Linked DNA regions of Caenorhabditis elegans. The protein of the gene in region 2 interacts with the protein of the main gene of each other region in a pairwise test. Each region holds a gene or a part of one and is shown on either strand. Other genes may lie near its edges. The genes, in order: rtfo-1, rnh-1.3, nhr-41 and his-72.

Region 1 (4,901 bases), on a different chromosome or scaffold from region 2:
TGGCGCAATTGTTCGTCTAATATTTAAAACATGAGACAATGTAGGCCCCGTAAATCGACACGAGCTACTGTATGTCAATGTCTGCGTGGCGAGACCCATGTACGTATTGTATGGCGAAAATGATCAATTTGGACGTTTACGTAATGAGAGCGTTCTACGTTTTTCAACTGAGGGGTCCGTTGATTACATGTAATTTGTGATTGAAATATATTTCCAGCTCATGGTCAATGTGGCATTCAGACCCTCTCATTCAAAGTTCTACGAAACACAGGGGATGATAATTGTGAGGATTGGATTGTTGAACAAATCCAGGTTTGTCTTATTTCTCTTATTGTATTAATCTCGAAATAATCTAATCCCTTCCTTTCCAGCTCCCTGTTGCCTGTCAATGCTCACTGAGCAAAAGCTCATTTCTTCGAGCCAAGCCGAGTAAAGAGCTGTAGCGCTTAAGATGTTAAATTACAATTCTTCGTTCACATTCCAAACCATTTCTGTATACCGGGTTTCTAATCCTGAAAGATGGAATAAAAACGTGAAAAGAACTTTGAGTTTATTCATTAATTGCACGAAAAATTATTAGAAAAGTTTCAAAAAATTCACACAGATTTTTGGTTTACATCCGTTAACCTAGGAATACAGTAGTCACAAGGAATCAAAAAAGGAATAAAACATGAAAAGATGAATGAGGGTGAAAATCAATAGAATCACATAGAAAATTTAAAATTAAAGGTTTGGGATTGGTGAGGAGTATCAGTGAGTGGGAAAGATCTAAAACAAACGGTGAAGGATTCATAAAATGTTCCATTTCTTGCATTCTGCAATTGCTATCTTTATTACGATTTATTTTATTCTGACGAAATTAAAAGCTAAAAAAATGTGTTCTCAAAAATTGGAAAAAATGAACGGAATAGTATAATGAAGGAATTGAACAAGTTTTGATCAGTTTATAAAACGAAAGAAAATAAGTAAAACGTAACGATGAGGGATGAGGGGGGTAACGCTGAGAAAATCAAAGAGATGTAGAAAAAGACAGTTCAAACTGCTGAGGATGGTGCAGCTGATGTGGAGGATCCAGCGTCACCACCTCCTGATCGACGCATTCGATAATCACTAAGTGACACTCCTCTGAAAATATAGCAATTAAAATAGTCCACTATAAGATGTGCTAACTTGGAAGAACTAATTGATGGACGTTTGTTTCCTGACGATTCCGGCGTACTAAAATCCTTCAATTTACCCAAATCGATGTCTAGATCAAAGTCATGCAGACTGGATATATCAGTTTTTTTCTTTATTTGAGTAGATGGAGGAGGTTGCGTCGGTTTAGCCAATGATGAACTTTTGTCTTTTCCGCCGTCAGATACTGAAAATTATAAAGTTATGTCAAAAAATTGATATTTCCTATTAACTTACAATTTGTGGTTGATGAAGATGCGGAAAGAGTTCCGTCAAGTCTTGATTTAGATCCAGAAACAACACGCATACCTCCCTTCTTACGTGTAAAAGGATCATCCTGTGAATTCTCTTCGATCTTCAATTGCCCACTCAGGACTTGGTCCTTTATTTTTGATCGATTCCTATGGTTAATGAACGCAATCGCACTAATTGACTTGCTTCGCTCTTTCTCCAATTCATCAGCTTGTCGTTCAATCTCATCGATTTTAGTTTGAATTTGTTCGGCTTCTCGAATGTCACCTCGTTGTTGAGCCAGCTCTTTTTGCTTGGACCAATTAGCTTTTGTCATAGCGAAATTTCGTGGAACTGTTTGATATTTGCTCTTTTCCTTGATCATCAGATCGACTTCTTTGTCCGAATACTTGTGGTTGATTGCTTTTTCGATATCTTGTTTTTTCTTATCCATAATATCGACGGTTGGAAGATTTCCGTGTCTCTTACATGCCAGAAGCCATTCATCAAACTCAATTTGTTCGAAATCAGCATTTGAAACGAATTGCATACGGAATGGTCGTTCTGATCCACCTGCAGTTAAGGTTGTAACAGATTTCAAATTTTCACAAGTAAATAAACAACTCACCATTCTGACATTTTATGATTTTATTTGTCTTTTTTCCTTCCAATTCGTAGACTTTGTTGGATTCCTCCACACCGACAATCTTCCATATCCGATATTTGCTTCCTGAGCCACTCATTTGCCCTTGTCCAAGTCGAACATAGCATCCTACGACAGTAGAATCAAAGAATGGGGCATGAATCATCAATGAAAGTTTATGACGGGACAATCGAGCTCTTCGAAGTTCCGAAAGTCCATCAACATCTTTCTTTACTATCTTATCTTTTTCGGATACACGTTCTGGTGATGATTCGCGGGAAGAAGATGATGAACGAGAGCTTTCGCTTGAACTAGACGAACTTGAAGATCCCGAATTAGCTCCAAAAACAGCATCGATAGAGAGTGCTTCGTTTTTTGCATTTTTCTTTTCGATCTCTTTACGTTTGTTCTTCAGAGCATCCATAGCATTCTTCTCTTTATGTTTGCGGTTAATCTGGAATAAAAATTTTTATTTGAAAAATAAAAAAATAAACTTACATCACTGGGTCGGTGGAAAGCAGCATCCATCTCAGAATCGGAATCCGATGAAGCTTTGCGTTTCGGGGAACCTGCATCACTTCCACCACTGTTCATTTTCCTTCGTTTTTCGGTTTTGACTCCCTTTTCAGAACTTTTCTTTGCTTTTTTAGCAAGTTGTTGAGCAATTTCTTCTCGAGCAATCGCGTTTTCACGAGCCTCCATCCTTTCAAAAATTTCTTGCTCCTTTTCCAATTCTGTCAATTTCTTCCATCTTGCTTTGTCTTCTTTGTCAGCAAATAAATCATCATCTACTTGGTCATCGTCACTACTTCCAGTAGCTCGCCGCTTTCGCTTTGTTAAAGTCTTCTTTTTTGCAGGCTTTGCCCTGAAAATGGAAACTCGTATAACTTTTTTTTGGATAGAAAACAGTAAAACTCACTGTGGTTTTTCGGCATCTGAATCGGATGCCGAGGAGTCGGTACTGAGAGGTTTTCCAGGTTTTGGACCTGCGTCTGAGTCAGAATCGGAATCTGAAGTGGCTGGAGCACGGCGTTTTGTCTCTTCGTCTGATGAAGCACTCTCAGAGGAAGACATTGTTGATTAAACTGACCCTGAGAACATAATTATGAATTGAATAAATTATTAGAGAACGGTGAGAAGAAACGGTTGTATAAAAGTGATGTAGAGCGTCTGACATTTGTTCTGGGAAAATCGATATCGACACACAGTTGCAAGATGGCTACGAACAATAGGTTTCATACAAATATTTAAACAAATAAAAGAAACAAGGAAAAGTGTCATATTTTTAATGATATATGCGCGTTTTTGTCGAAAATATTCGAAAAATTAAGAAAAAACTTAAGTTTCTCAAAAAATGTGTCAATATTGGATTCGAGAAACAAAAAGGACGGGTGCAATAAAGTTTTTCTACTCTTTGAATTAAGATAATAATAAAGAATCATTAAAAATCAATTATAATAACGAAAAACCAAAGAAAATACCGAAAATTAAGAATAAATTTTTACATTCAAACTGCACAGTGTCAATACATTTAGTCCCGCCCACTTTGCAAGCCGCGCACGCTATTTTGCAAGGTTGTCGCACACAATTGGGATATTGGCTTCTGTTGCTGTAGGTCATGGTGCAAGCTATGTATATTTAATGGATTTATATATAAATACCAAACACTTTTATAATCGATAAGGAAATTGAGAGACACTCCCATTTTCTGAAGTTTAGAAAAACTAATTCTTTAGTGCCCATCCTGTGGGAATCCGAAGTGTTCTTATAGGTTTTTCAAATCTCTTATGCTCTCACAGTATTCTCAAAAACCATTAATCAAGAAAAAAACATAAGAAGAGACAAGGGTAGATGGCTTACGGAAATACAACCCCTTTTCCAGGTTAAACGATGTAAGAGAAGAAAAAACGAAAAAAGAAAGATCAAATGCTCTTTAGTGAACAGTTGTTCTATTAAAGTGTTTAGGTAGACCTGGAGATACAGAGAATCAGAAATAAAGGATAATCTTTCTTTTCGTGTTTCCTGTTGCCATTCGACAATTAGTAGAAGTAGTAAGCGAAGTTTTCGAAGAAAATGAAGAATTTGCGGTTCGAATCCCATCGACACAATGGAGGAGCAGCTGAGGCAGAGTTTAATTTTGGTAAGTTATCTGATTATTGAAATACTGCATGTTTTCTTTCTACGAGTTTTTAAGAGAGACTCATTTGTGTTTAATACATAAAAAATTCCGTATAACGCAGACGTTTAGATATTTTAATGTTGGTTATACTTTACTCGCAGGGGTCTCGCCACTCGGACAACGAGTTACTGTAGCTCGTATCAATTTACGGCCCTCTATATATTTGTATATGCGCCTTCAAGATTACGGTAAATAATTGCGAAACAAAATCTTGATGTCCAATTCAACAAATGTTCACATTAGTAACATTCAATTTTAATTTAACGCTAAATATAGAGACTTTCTGTAAAAAACCCGATTTCACATTGATTGTCTAACTTTTTCAGTCCGAGTTGCCCGTATAAAATTTCAAAAGACTTTGTGAACGTATTTTATCTTATTATTCTTTTAAAGCTTCAGAACTCAAAACTTTCCAAATGTTCATATTTTCTCGAACACAATCCATTTTGCTTTTCCGACAGTTCTAACCATCAAGTACATGTTTATCCAGCCAAGTGGTTTCTCCTCTCTATATCACTTTCATTCTAATCGATCTCTCTTCCTTCTCACAAAACCGGCAATTGTATTGCGTGACGACGTACCTCTCATCACGCATTCTGAATGAATATTGAAAATTTGAATATTTGAAATGGCTATGAGCCTGCAACGTTCACTACTTTATTAGAACTCATC
Region 2 (2,870 bases):
AAGAGAAAATAGACTGATGTTTTTGGCCTGCTCGCGGTGCAATGCAAGCAATGCTCACTGCGAAAAGAGCAATCTGCTCTATAAAAAAAACATTTCGGATCACACAAACTGTTTGGGTGCGAGCAAATACGTTGAATAGAGCGAGTGAGCTGTGATTTCACAAAAGTTGTCAAACATTCATTCAATTAAAAAAAAAATGTTTGAATATTTTTGAAGATCGTATTAACCGAAATTTTGCGATTTTTACGCCAACGGTACAGTGCCTGGTCTCAACACGACACATTTTTGTTCAAGGCAAAGAGGTGTGCGCCTTTAACGAGTACTGTAGTTTCAAACTTTCGTTGCTCCGGAATTTTCATAGATTTTTCTTGTTTTTTTCGGATGTCGTAGTTTTGGCGCAAAAATCACTTCTCTTCGAGACCAGGACTTGAAATGAGATACACTATATCAGCTACCGTACTCGCGATTCTTGATATTTTCAAGAAGCTTTCCCAGTGTTTCGGAGCATATTCCTTCAATCCAAGAAAGTTTATCCACTATTCATCTTTATTGCTTTTATTCAAAAAGGAAAGATGCGGGAAAAATAGAGGGCTTGGGTACTCAAATGTACATTCTATTGCTATGTCCGCGGACATGCTCGAACTCGACAGTCTGTAATTTTTAATTATTTCCATTAAAAAGCGGTGTTTTATGAATTATATATAATAATTATAATCTTACCTTTCCACTATGCTTGAGCGCTTGAACATTGCGGTCGATATCTCTGATGAGATCCTGATTCTTCACATCTTGTCCCGAAGAAGTTTTGTAGCCATTCGACTTCCAGTTGTCATTCCATTTGGTGACAGAATCCTTCGCGTTCTTGGAATCAGTGTGGATTCTCACGTGGCTGTCTGGAACATCACGAGCCTGAAAATGCAGAAAATTGAATGTTGGTACGAATGTTTGAAAATTACCATTTGGGTGGCGTGCTTGATGGCTTCCAGCTCATATCGATTGTTGGTTTGTGGTCCGTGTGGATAAGAGCCACTCACATTCTTCGATGTATCTGAAATATGTTCAAATAAGGAACAATTAATTGCACAAAAAACCGTACCACTTGGAACGTGAACTCCATAGCCTCCTCTGGAGCCTTGTTGGCCGTTTCCGAGAGCGGAACCGTCGGTGTAGAAGTCGTACGGCATTTCTTTAAAATTTCAGTTCATTTGATAGGAAAAAAGCATGCGAGAGAGAAAAGAAGAATGAAAACGGAGATCTTAATAAAAACAAAATGATGATATGAATTGTTTCGCAGAAGAAAGCAAACTTCTGGAAATTCCCGGGAATTAACAAAACAAAACAACAATAAAGCGAACATTCTAGAAAACATTTTTTTTGTTCTCCGCGGGTACTGTATTTGAGTCGCGGCGAGACCCTTCTATGAGACAGTTTGTGCGAATGAGAGACCGAGAGATCAGTCTCGTTCCGTTTTAAAATTTTCCTTGGAATTTAATTGTATTTCCAGTTTTTGTTTAAAAAAATTTATTTACTATAGAGAATATTAACGAAATTTAAGTTCAAAAAATGCAATAATATCACATTACAATCATAAATTAAATTATATAAAATACTTTGGCATTCAAGAAACAAGTAGTAAAACATGGGAATTTATTTATTCTTTGCCTGGAAGGCTCTAACAGCAGCTACTCTTTCAACAACTGGAGGATGTGTGTGAGTGCACCATGAGTAGAGTGAGTCATTGATAGGCATCGACAGATTGTCAACACCAAGCTTGGTCAAAGCTCCAATAAGATTTTCTCCGTGTCCGAGGTTAGCAGCAAACTCGTCAGCTCCAAATTCAGCAGAACGGGAGTGAATAACCATTCCAATACTAGCGAGTTGATTGTAGAGAGCGAGGACAAATTGGAAGATGAGCATCATGCCAATGACTGGTGGAGTATCGTGATAGCCGAATCCCTGAAAATTAAAATTTTAAGAATTTAATGGTTTAAATATAATTACTTGATAGAGGGCTTCCCATTTATAAAAGTATCCAAAAACTGCAAAAGAGAAGAACAAGTTGACTTCAGCTGAAAAATTCTACGTTTTGCTGTGAGTTCAGTTAAATCAACTTACTGATGACAAGATTGATCAAAGTGTGCCATAAAGCCCAATGACCCAATTCATGGCCCAGAACGGCCACAACTTCATCGTTGTTCATTCCTCTCTTTTTGTCGTTTTCAGTTTCTTCGATTTTCTCTCCAGCTGCCACATACAATTCATGTACTTTCTCCTTTTCAGCTCCACTTAGCAAAGTATCATAGAGCACAATGCGCTTGTTCTTCCAGAATCCATACATGTAAGCATTGGAGTGAGCCGAGCGTTTTGAGCCATTGACAACGTAAAGTTCAGTTAATGGATAACTGAGAGAAGCAGCTAATTGTTCAATTTTCGTCTTGAGATCTCCATCAGGCAATGGGAAATATTTGTCGAAGAGTGGAGCGATGAAAGTTGGATAAATGGTCATCAAAAGTAGCACAACAACAGAAACAAATAACCAAATATAGACAAAGAAGTATGGTCCACCATTGACAATAATCCATTCAATTCCATAAACGATTGGCATAGTGAGAGCAAATCCGACGAGCATTTTCTTAATTTTGTCAACGAAATAGAATCCAATAGTTTGTTTATTGAATCCATGGGCATCTTCGATAATAAAAGTGGAATATAGATCCCAAGGTAAATCGATGATTGTTTCAATTATTGAGTTTATTGAGAGAAATACAGCCACATGCAATGGATAACTAGCCGTTGCGTACCAAAGGAATGGATAATATCCTCCAATCAATTGTGCCTGAAAATTATTTTTTCATTTAAAGTAAACTTCA
Region 3 (4,694 bases), on a different chromosome or scaffold from region 2:
GAGGTCACCTGAGGACCCCGGAAAGTGGGCGGAGCTACAATTCGACCGGTGATCAAAACCTGTTTTTAGAGAGAGCGCGCGCGCTCGCGACACTGTCCTTGTAGTCCAAACTTTTGGAAAAAAGGGTATTGGAATATTAGGTATACGCAGAAAATTTAGTAAATGATTTGAAAAACTCCAAGTCCTAACCTAAAATTGTTTTAATTCTAGTTAAAATTTTGTGTTTTTTTAGGTTGAGGCATTGATTTTCATTGTTTTTCATGTCGAAATTCGGATTCTGCGTGCAATTTCCGTTAATTTGACCCCCATAATGACCGGATTCTAATTATTTTAAAATTTTTGAAAATGGATCGAAGTGGCGCAACTGGGTAGAGGTTGGGCTGTAGCGCACAAGACCGGGGTTCGAGCCCAAGTAAGGGAAAATGTTTTTCTCAAGGTTTGTTTGGATAGTTAAAGTGTGTTAAAATAAAAAGGAATCCTAGAAAATCGGAAAAATTGGAAAATTTTTTTGAAAAAAAGTTCTTTGAGCAACATTTTTTTTACCTGAACATTTCGAAGGGCATTTAGCTGTTGAATGATATTTGGCATCATTGGTGGACCGACAACTGACGGGTGTCCTAACAATGGGTTTCTGGTAGCCTGGAAATTCAAAAATTTAAGGGAGAATTTAACAAAAAAAAAACAAATTTTGGGGCAAAAGTTAAAAAATATTTTTGAAAACGAGATCAAACCTTTCATGATATTTTTTTGAGGGAAAAAAAAGGTTATCGAATGACCTTCCACACACATAGACACATAGTAATTTTTCATTAGGGTCGAGAATTTGAGAGATATTTCGTTTTTTTTTCGAAAAAAATTGGACATTCTTTTTGCCCCCGCCATATAACTTTTTCCGCTACAGTCAGCAGGCCCCTCCCGCACACTCTTCTCTAGGCACTCGAGACCTCCTCGTTTCGTCCTCCCATGTGGTCTAGTGGTTAGGATTCGTGGTTTTCACCCACGCGGCCCGGGTTCGATTCCCGGCATGGGAAGTTTATTTTTTTATTTTTGCACTGCCAGTTTTGCCGAATTCTCATTTTTGCAGAAAATAGTTTACCTGCATCATTGCCATCAACTGTGGGTTGCTGAATACGTTTAGTTGAGCCGCCATTATTGCCGGATTGAACAAATTCGGCTGAATACCAGGGATTGGTGTGTTCGCATGCTGTGGGGGTTGGAAAGCTGTTGGGGTGCCTGAACATATTTATATTTATTTTTTATTCGAAAAAAATTAATTAGAATATTACCTGGCGTTGAGGGAATTAGGTGAGATTCTTGTTTGATAGCGGTCGGAGCAATTAGGCTCCGTGAGAAATCGATGGGTGGAGGTGGGGGTTGCTCGACGGAGCAAGGGTCACCCAGCGTCTGGAATAAGAAAATTATAATTTTTCATAAACTTTCCAGTTAATTAGCCTGTTTAAGACAATTTTTCCAAACTTTAAATTCAGAGAATTTTTTTAAAAGATATTCATTGTCAAATTCGAATTCTCCATGAAATTTCCGTTAAGTTGACACCCATATTGACCAATTTACAAAAATTTTGAAATTTTTAGAAAAGTCAAAAAATTGGGTCCCAGTGGCTCAGCTGGTCAGAGGTTAGGCTGAGTCAGAAGGTCGAGGGTTCGAGCCCAGTTGTGGTTTTTATTTTTTACTATAACTGTTTTGATGGTTGAAACAGTTTTAGAGTGACAGGAATTTCATTTTAGAATTTTTTTTTCGTAAATCTTTTTTTAACTCCCATAATTTAGACTTTTACATGTTATTTTGTACAAGAAATCAAAATAAAAAGAAAATCCCTCCTACCGGACTAGAACCCCGGTCTTCTGCGTCATAGTCTAGACCAACAGATACCCGACTGAGCCACCGAGACCAAATTTAACTTATCGGAAATAGGGCAATATGGGGGTAAATTAACGGATTTTAGAGATTTTAGACGGAAGATTCGAATGTTTTAATAAAATAATTGAAAAATTGAAAAATTAGCCTTTAAAAATTTTTTAAACAATTGTCCCGAAAAAAAGTTTTTTTCAGAAATTGTTTTGTATTGTGCGGTAAATTGGTGTAGAATTTAACGTTGAATACATTTTAATTGAAATATTGGTACTTGTGTATTACATGCCCTCATTTTTATAGTAATTTTTTAAGTTGTGCAAAATAAAAACGTGAACCACACTTTTGGATTTTTAGGCTTAGGAAATAAAATTTCCTAACTAGGGAACCGTCAGAAGGTGCCCATCGGACTTGCATATGAAACCTGTGCCATTCGATAGCTGCGAATCTCCAGAACCAAGCTCACGGCGAGCTCTCAAATATCCTAAAATAGCACTGTAACGAAGCACTTTACGATCAAAACAAGCAATTTTCCTTATTCACTTTGGTAGCTCATATCTCTGCGGATAAATTTTTCAAAGAAAAGTCATCAACTGATAAATTGTTGAACTTTTTGTAAAGAACAAGTTTGTAGTTAAAAGTTTTTACCAAAAGTTTTTTGTTTTAGATAAAAGCATTAAAATCGCAATAGCAGCAGTTGCCGCACTTCATGCGCTTCTATCTGAAACAACAATTTTTTTGACAAAAACTTTCAACTACAAACTTGTTCTTTACAAAAATATCAACAACATATTAGTTGATGACTTTTCGGTAAAAAATTTATCCGCTGAGATATGAGCTACCAAAGTAAATTTGGAAAATTGGCCCTTCACTACTTCGTTAAAGTGCTATTTTCAGGATCTTTGAGAGCTCGCCGTGAGCTTGGTTTTGGAGATTCGCAGCTAAAAATTCACGAGTAACCGTTTAATTTAATTTAAAAATGAGGACATGTAATACACAAGTACCGAAATATTTTCGATTTGAGTGCTAGTTCTTCAGTAAAACCTAAAAAATGTACAAAAATGAACGTTTCCTCAGAAAACTCACCATATTAATCCAAGTTTGATGGGATGCTGAAGCTTGACTCTCAGCAAATATTAGCCCAGTTGATGACGTGGAATTTTCTAGAATAAGGGGACGATGTGGGTGATCAGAGCACTTTGGCAAAGTGTACATGAGTATACAGAAACAAGAGAGAATAATATAGTAGTACAGTGAGAGGTGTTTCAGACCGTTATTCCTGGAGACTCTCCCCCTTATCACCGCGCCGCCGGTCAGTCAGCCGCTGCTGACCAACTGGAAATATGTTTCAAGCGGTGTGGCGCGCGGCGTGGGAAATAGTGCGCGAAACCGGGAGAGTGCACACAGAGGTGAGTGACCGTGGGGGGCATTGTATGCTAATAGCAACGCGGAACGAATTTTGGGGGCGGGGGGAACTGTACTATGTGTTGCGGTTTTGGTATAACAAAGTTGCAAAAAAAAAGGTCACAACTTTTGAGGAAAACGAACATTTAAGTCTTTAGCATTTGGGTTTAAACGTTTTAAACCTAAAAATTCGAATTTTACAAAAAATTTCCGTCAATATGACCCCCATATTGACCTATTTCGGTAGTTTTTAAATTGTCAAAAATTTCGGAAAATGGGGCGAAGTGGCTCAATCGGGTAGAGGCTGGGTTATGGTGCAGAAGGTCAGGGGTTCGAGTCCCAGCTTGGTCATAAGTTTTTGTTGCAATTTTTTGAGTGACAAAAATACAAAATTTCGAGCTAGAAACTAGTTTTCAACACTTTCCATGTGTCGAGTAATTTTCGTTGAAAAAATTAAATTTTAGTAAATTAAACGTCAAATTCGAATTCTCCATTAAATTTCAACGTGACTCCCATATTGGCCTAATTAAGATAATTTTGAAATTTTTTAGAAATTTCGTGAAAATGTGTGCTGAACTGGGTACATGTTAGGCTATGGCGCAGAAGGTCAAGGGCTCGACCCCAACGTGCACCAGAACATTTTTGCACAGCTTAATTTAACATAGTTTCCCCTGTTTTAAAGTAATTTTGACATTACACACATTTTTTTCATTATTTTGGAAAAAATTTACAAAAATGTAACTCTCACAAATTTTGTCAAAAAAGTTACACTGATGGAGTAAAATTTTTTTCATCAAAATATGGAAAGTATAGAAAATCCTTGAAAAATCCCCAAAAATCATATCCCCCGCTACCGGGGGATAATCGGTGTTTAGCGGAGCCGTGAACTCAATCTGTTAAATAATTTTTTTCTTCTGTGCCGGCCGGGGCGGATTTTCTTTTTTCATTTTCATTAAGATAATTTATAGGTGAGCGGCTTTGTTGCTTAAGTATTAGCTGTGAGGATTTGTTGTTAATTTTTTTTTGGAAATTTTTTTCGACAATATTTACCCATTTCATATGATCAAAAATGTACCGGAAAAAAAATTTGGGACCGGCTGGGGTCGAACCCTGGTGTCGAGATTCACAGCCAAACCTGTTAGCCACTGAGCCATCGCGGCGAAAATTGAAAATTTCCGGTTTTTTGGGCCAAAAATTTCACATACAGGGTTCAACCTAGTTTCCAACTCGAGATTCTTTTCTTGTTAGATGGAAAAAGTCTCACAAAAATATTCACCTACAGCGGGGATTGAACCCCTGTCTTCCGCGCGTCAGCCCAACCTCTACCCAGCGAAGCCACCGCGACCTATTTTTCAAACTTATAGGAAATGGCTCAATATGGGGGCCAATTTGACTAGAATTTTGATGAAGAATTCGAGTTT
Region 4 (3,795 bases), on a different chromosome or scaffold from region 2:
TTTGAAAAATTTAGGTTAGATGGGTCTCGGCGCGGAAAAAGCATGCAATGAAATCAATTTATTTTTTGCGTTTTGCGCGCCAAGACCCATCTGATAGATTTTCTACAGTAATTTTAAAGGTACATACAGAAAATTAATATTTTTAATGTGAATTTCGCGACGAGACCCTTTTAAAACTTACTGATAAATAGTCGCTGGCGTTTTTTACTATTTCCAATGACTCGAAGAAACATTTTTTTTGTGAATTCAGAGCATGAATTTAGTGAATTCAATTCAAAACTGCGGCGGCGTGGAATATAGTTGCTAGGCGTTCATATGATGTTGCTAGACTACTGAAGCACACGAAACTTTATTTTTTTTTGTTGGAGTTCAACATGAAATTCAGCAATTTACGAATAAAATAAGACATAAAGAACGGAGAGAAAAGTGGTGATGAGATCGGCGGTTCGATCGCAAAAATCAATTTTCGGGATGGAAAAATACGAGGATTATGGTACAAGTTGGATTAAATGAATATTAAAAGTGCTTCGAGAATTGGTGATGGAGCTTAAGCACGTTCTCCGCGGATGCGTCTGGCGAGTTGCATGTCCTTTGGCATGATGGTGACGCGCTTGGCGTGGATGGCGCACAGGTTGGTGTCCTCGAAGAGTCCGACGAGGTATGCTTCAGATGCCTCCTGGAAAAAAAAAAAGATTTTAATTAATTTTTTTTAAATTTCAAATTCAAACTACAAACCTGGAGAGCTCCGATGGCAGCCGACTGGAAGCGGAGATCAGTCTTGAAGTCCTGGGCAATCTCACGAACGAGACGTTGGAAAGGAAGCTTGCGGATGAGAAGCTCAGTCGACTTCTGGTAACGACGAATCTCACGGAGAGCGACAGTTCCTGGACGGTAACGATGTGGCTTCTTGACTCCTCCGGTGGTTGGAGCCGATTTGCGGGCGGCCTTGGTGGCCAACTGCTTTCTTGGAGCCTTTCCTCCGGTGGATTTACGAGCGGTTTGCTTGGTACGAGCCATTGTTGTTCTGGAAATTGAGAATTGAGAATGGTTGGAATAGTGAGGAAATGTGAGAGCAGAAGGAGAAGAAGGAAGAGTAGAAGAAGAATCAATATGAAATGGCCCTACGCGTTGCGGTCGCGTCGCGTGTCACTATCGATCGATATTGATTCAGGGAAAGATGGAGCCAAGAATTCTTGTTTGCAGTTTATTCTAGACATTTATATACAGAGCACACAGAAAATGTACTCTTAATATTTAATTTAAAGTACGAATTGGTACAGCAGATGCTCAATAAACTGATGAGCAGCTGCATACAGAAGGATGAATGAAGGAATCGACCGCACCACATATGATTGAAAAAGCGCGCGCACCCTGACACCACCGCGTTGCGGTCGCGTCACGGTCGAAATGCGCGCGCTTAGTAGGTGCGCTGCGGTCGCGTCGCGTGTTCGATCGATAACGTAGGATTTCGGAAGTGATGATGAAATAGGAGGTGTAGGAAATTGCGAAATTCTCATAAAATTTGAAAAAGTTGCTGAATTATTCAAGACTACGTATTTCTAAATTCTTTTCTAAAAAAATTAGTTTTGTTAAGAAGTTTTCTGCTGATTTTCCTGATTTTAATGGATAATCCCGTAAAACCGCACTGAAATTCTCGCCGCGACGCGGCCGCTTCGCGCATAAACGTGGCATCTAACTAGGTCGAAATCGATGCTAAGCCGATAAATTCTTAAGAAACATCTACTTTAATGGACTACTTCCAACCTATACCGAAAAAGGCTGTCAACTCGAGAGTACAAAATAAGCCTGTGGAAAAAAAAGGAGAAGAAATGAGCCAAATTGCAGTATAAAGCCCGCAAAATGGTCCGAAAAGTTGGGAGAGCGCGCGCGCACACGCACGCACCTCTCATCACGACGACAAACAGAACAACTGACAATATATATTCGAATGGTGTCGGGGCGGGGCGGGAACGAGTAAGAAGTACGAAGCCAAATTGGTGTCCACACTATAACGTTTGATACTCAGCCAACACGAAGACACGTGACGACACAGAGAGCAAAGACTTGGCATTGTGCCAAGTCTCCGCCTCCTCCCCCCTTTTGTCGTATCGATTTTGTGGGGTCTGGACCAAATCCGGATTAAAGCTGGAAAACTTATGCCAAGAAATATCAAATCTTTCAAAAATCCTCATTGAAAATCTGGAAAATTAACTTTAAACTTCAGGTCGCGAAGGATCCTGAATCCACGTGGATTTTCAGAAAAATTACTAATCGGGCAAAATTTTTTAAAGAATTTCATTTCTAGCGATAACTTAGCGATTCATCCGTAGATTTTTATGAAATTCGAGTATATTAACCGGAATAAGGTAACGGACCAAACTGGAAATTTTCAGGAAAAAATATGCGAAATGAGCTGAGATATGAATTAAAATGCTGCGAAATTCGAATTTTCCAGACGGAACGAAACAACAAAATGCAAAAATTTTACGCGCGCTAGTTTAATCGGGGGGCCACTCTCTTGCAAACACACACTATTTCCGAAATGCGTGCCGCTTCTCTGCGGTCTCTTCAGTGTCGCCGCTGCTCTCGCGCGATTGCGGACTTTGAACGCATTTCTTGAGAAAATATAGTAAAAATTGGAGTTTCTTGGGATCGAGGAGGATTTTTTATTTAAAATATTCAAAGAAATTGCACTAATAGTAAAAAATCTGATTACTGTTCAAGTTGAAATTTCAAAAAAAAAAAAAAACAGAAACAGTAATTTTTCTCAATTCCACAGAAAATTGAAATACTGGATACTCTAAAAATATTCCTCTTCAAATATTAATATTTTCTAAATGATTTGAGGAAGTTTCAGAAAAAAACGCATTTCCAGATCTAAATAAAGGTTTATAACAAATTTCTGCGGGTAATTTTGAAGATAAAAACAGTAAATTGGACGAAAAATCTTTAATTTTCTAAATTTCGAAGAAAAACATCAAGAAATTAACATGAAAACGAGGAAATCAATCTAATATTTCTTTAAATTTAACGTAAACACAACTGTGCATTTTTGCGTCGGCGTGTACAGCATTGCGTACGTGGCGCCACAATTGACGCCATATTGGTTCTCCGGTTGAAATATCATCATTTTTAAAGTTTCTCAATTTTTATCAGTTTTCAAGGTTTGAATTCGTTTTTTTAGGCGATTTTTTCGATAAATTGGCTTGAAAATTCAATTTCCAGGGAAAAATGAGAGATCCACACGTTTCTTGTCGTGTTATTTCAGTTTTTATTAGTCTCAACTTATTTAAAGCTATTATTTATTTTTTCCAGTGTTAATGGCTCCACCTGCTTCTACTGCTTCATCAGCTGACCCTTCTAAGCCAACGGCTCAAAAATTGACCGAAGAATCCGATGAGAAAACTCTTCGCAAATATTTCAGCACAAAAGTCGATGATGCGCAGGTTTGTTGTATTTTTTAAAAAGTTTAGCCCAAGGGTTTATCAAGTATTTCAGCAAAAAGTGGCCGACAAATCACAAAATGTGCGTCGTCTGCAAGCTCAGCGTAATGAGCTCAACACAAAAGTTCGTATGCTGAAAGAAGAGCTTCAGCAGCTCCACGAGCAAGGAAGTTACGTCGGTGAAGTGAGCAAAGCCATGGATAAGAAGAAAGTTCTTGTGAAAGTTCATCCAGAAGGAAAATATGTCGTCGACGTGGATAAATCCATTGATATCAACTCACTGAACACAGGAGCACGTGTTGCACTCCGAGCCGACAGCTATGCTCTTCATAAGCTTCTTCCGAATAAGGTG

The links.
Region 1: the proteins of rnh-1.3 (region 2) and rtfo-1 interact in a two-hybrid assay, tested with the Caenorhabditis elegans proteins (one large-scale study listed by BioGRID).
Region 3: the proteins of rnh-1.3 (region 2) and nhr-41 interact in a two-hybrid assay, tested with the Caenorhabditis elegans proteins (one large-scale study listed by BioGRID).
Region 4: the proteins of rnh-1.3 (region 2) and his-72 interact in a two-hybrid assay, tested with the Caenorhabditis elegans proteins (one large-scale study listed by BioGRID).

Annotation. Positions count from the first base shown.
Region 1 is NC_003283.11:9,579,504-9,584,404, forward strand, and holds rtfo-1 (RNA polymerase-associated protein RTF1 homolog), read right to left. Parts: upstream 3,142-4,901; 5' UTR 3,125-3,141; coding exon 2,970-3,124; intron 2,916-2,969; coding exon 2,549-2,915; intron 2,505-2,548; coding exon 2,036-2,504; intron 1,981-2,035; coding exon 1,414-1,980; intron 1,364-1,413; coding exon 1,171-1,363; intron 1,126-1,170; coding exon 1,035-1,125; 3' UTR 538-1,034; downstream 1-537. Other genes in the region: F25B3.2 (CTCK domain-containing protein), read left to right, coding at 218-312, 372-443. UniProt on the Caenorhabditis elegans protein: Component of the PAF1 complex which is a multifunctional complex involved in transcription initiation via genetic interactions with TATA-binding proteins, elongation and transcription-coupled histone modification.
Region 2 is NC_003279.8:9,709,560-9,712,429, forward strand, and holds rnh-1.3 (RNase H type-1 domain-containing protein), read right to left. Parts: upstream 1,187-2,870; 5' UTR 1,185-1,186; coding exon 1,097-1,184; intron 1,049-1,096; coding exon 957-1,048; intron 910-956; coding exon 721-909; intron 652-720; coding exon 601-651; 3' UTR 529-600; downstream 1-528. Other genes in the region: fce-1 (CAAX prenyl protease 1 homolog), read right to left, coding at 1,648-1,956, 2,002-2,069, 2,116-2,836.
Region 3 is NC_003282.8:1,384,553-1,389,246, reverse strand, and holds the start of nhr-41 (Nuclear Hormone Receptor family), read right to left. Parts: upstream 3,033-4,694; 5' UTR 2,959-3,032; coding exon 2,956-2,958; intron 1,405-2,955; coding exon 1,287-1,404; intron 1,234-1,286; coding exon 1,097-1,233; intron 1,032-1,096; exon of another isoform or gene 960-1,031; intron 640-959; coding exon 544-639; intron 1-543.
Region 4 is NC_003281.10:12,367,141-12,370,935, forward strand, and holds his-72 (Histone H3.3 type 2), read right to left. Parts: upstream 1,911-3,795; coding exon 1,904-1,910; intron 1,405-1,903; exon of another isoform or gene 1,179-1,404; intron 1,025-1,178; coding exon 736-1,024; intron 677-735; coding exon 517-676; downstream 1-516. Other genes in the region: Y75B8A.33 (DUF221-domain-containing protein), read right to left, coding at 182-233; rpt-6 (26S proteasome regulatory subunit 8), read left to right, coding at 3,321-3,446, 3,499-3,795. UniProt on the Caenorhabditis elegans protein: Variant histone H3 which replaces conventional H3 in a wide range of nucleosomes in active genes. Constitutes the predominant form of histone H3 in non-dividing cells and is incorporated into chromatin independently of DNA synthesis.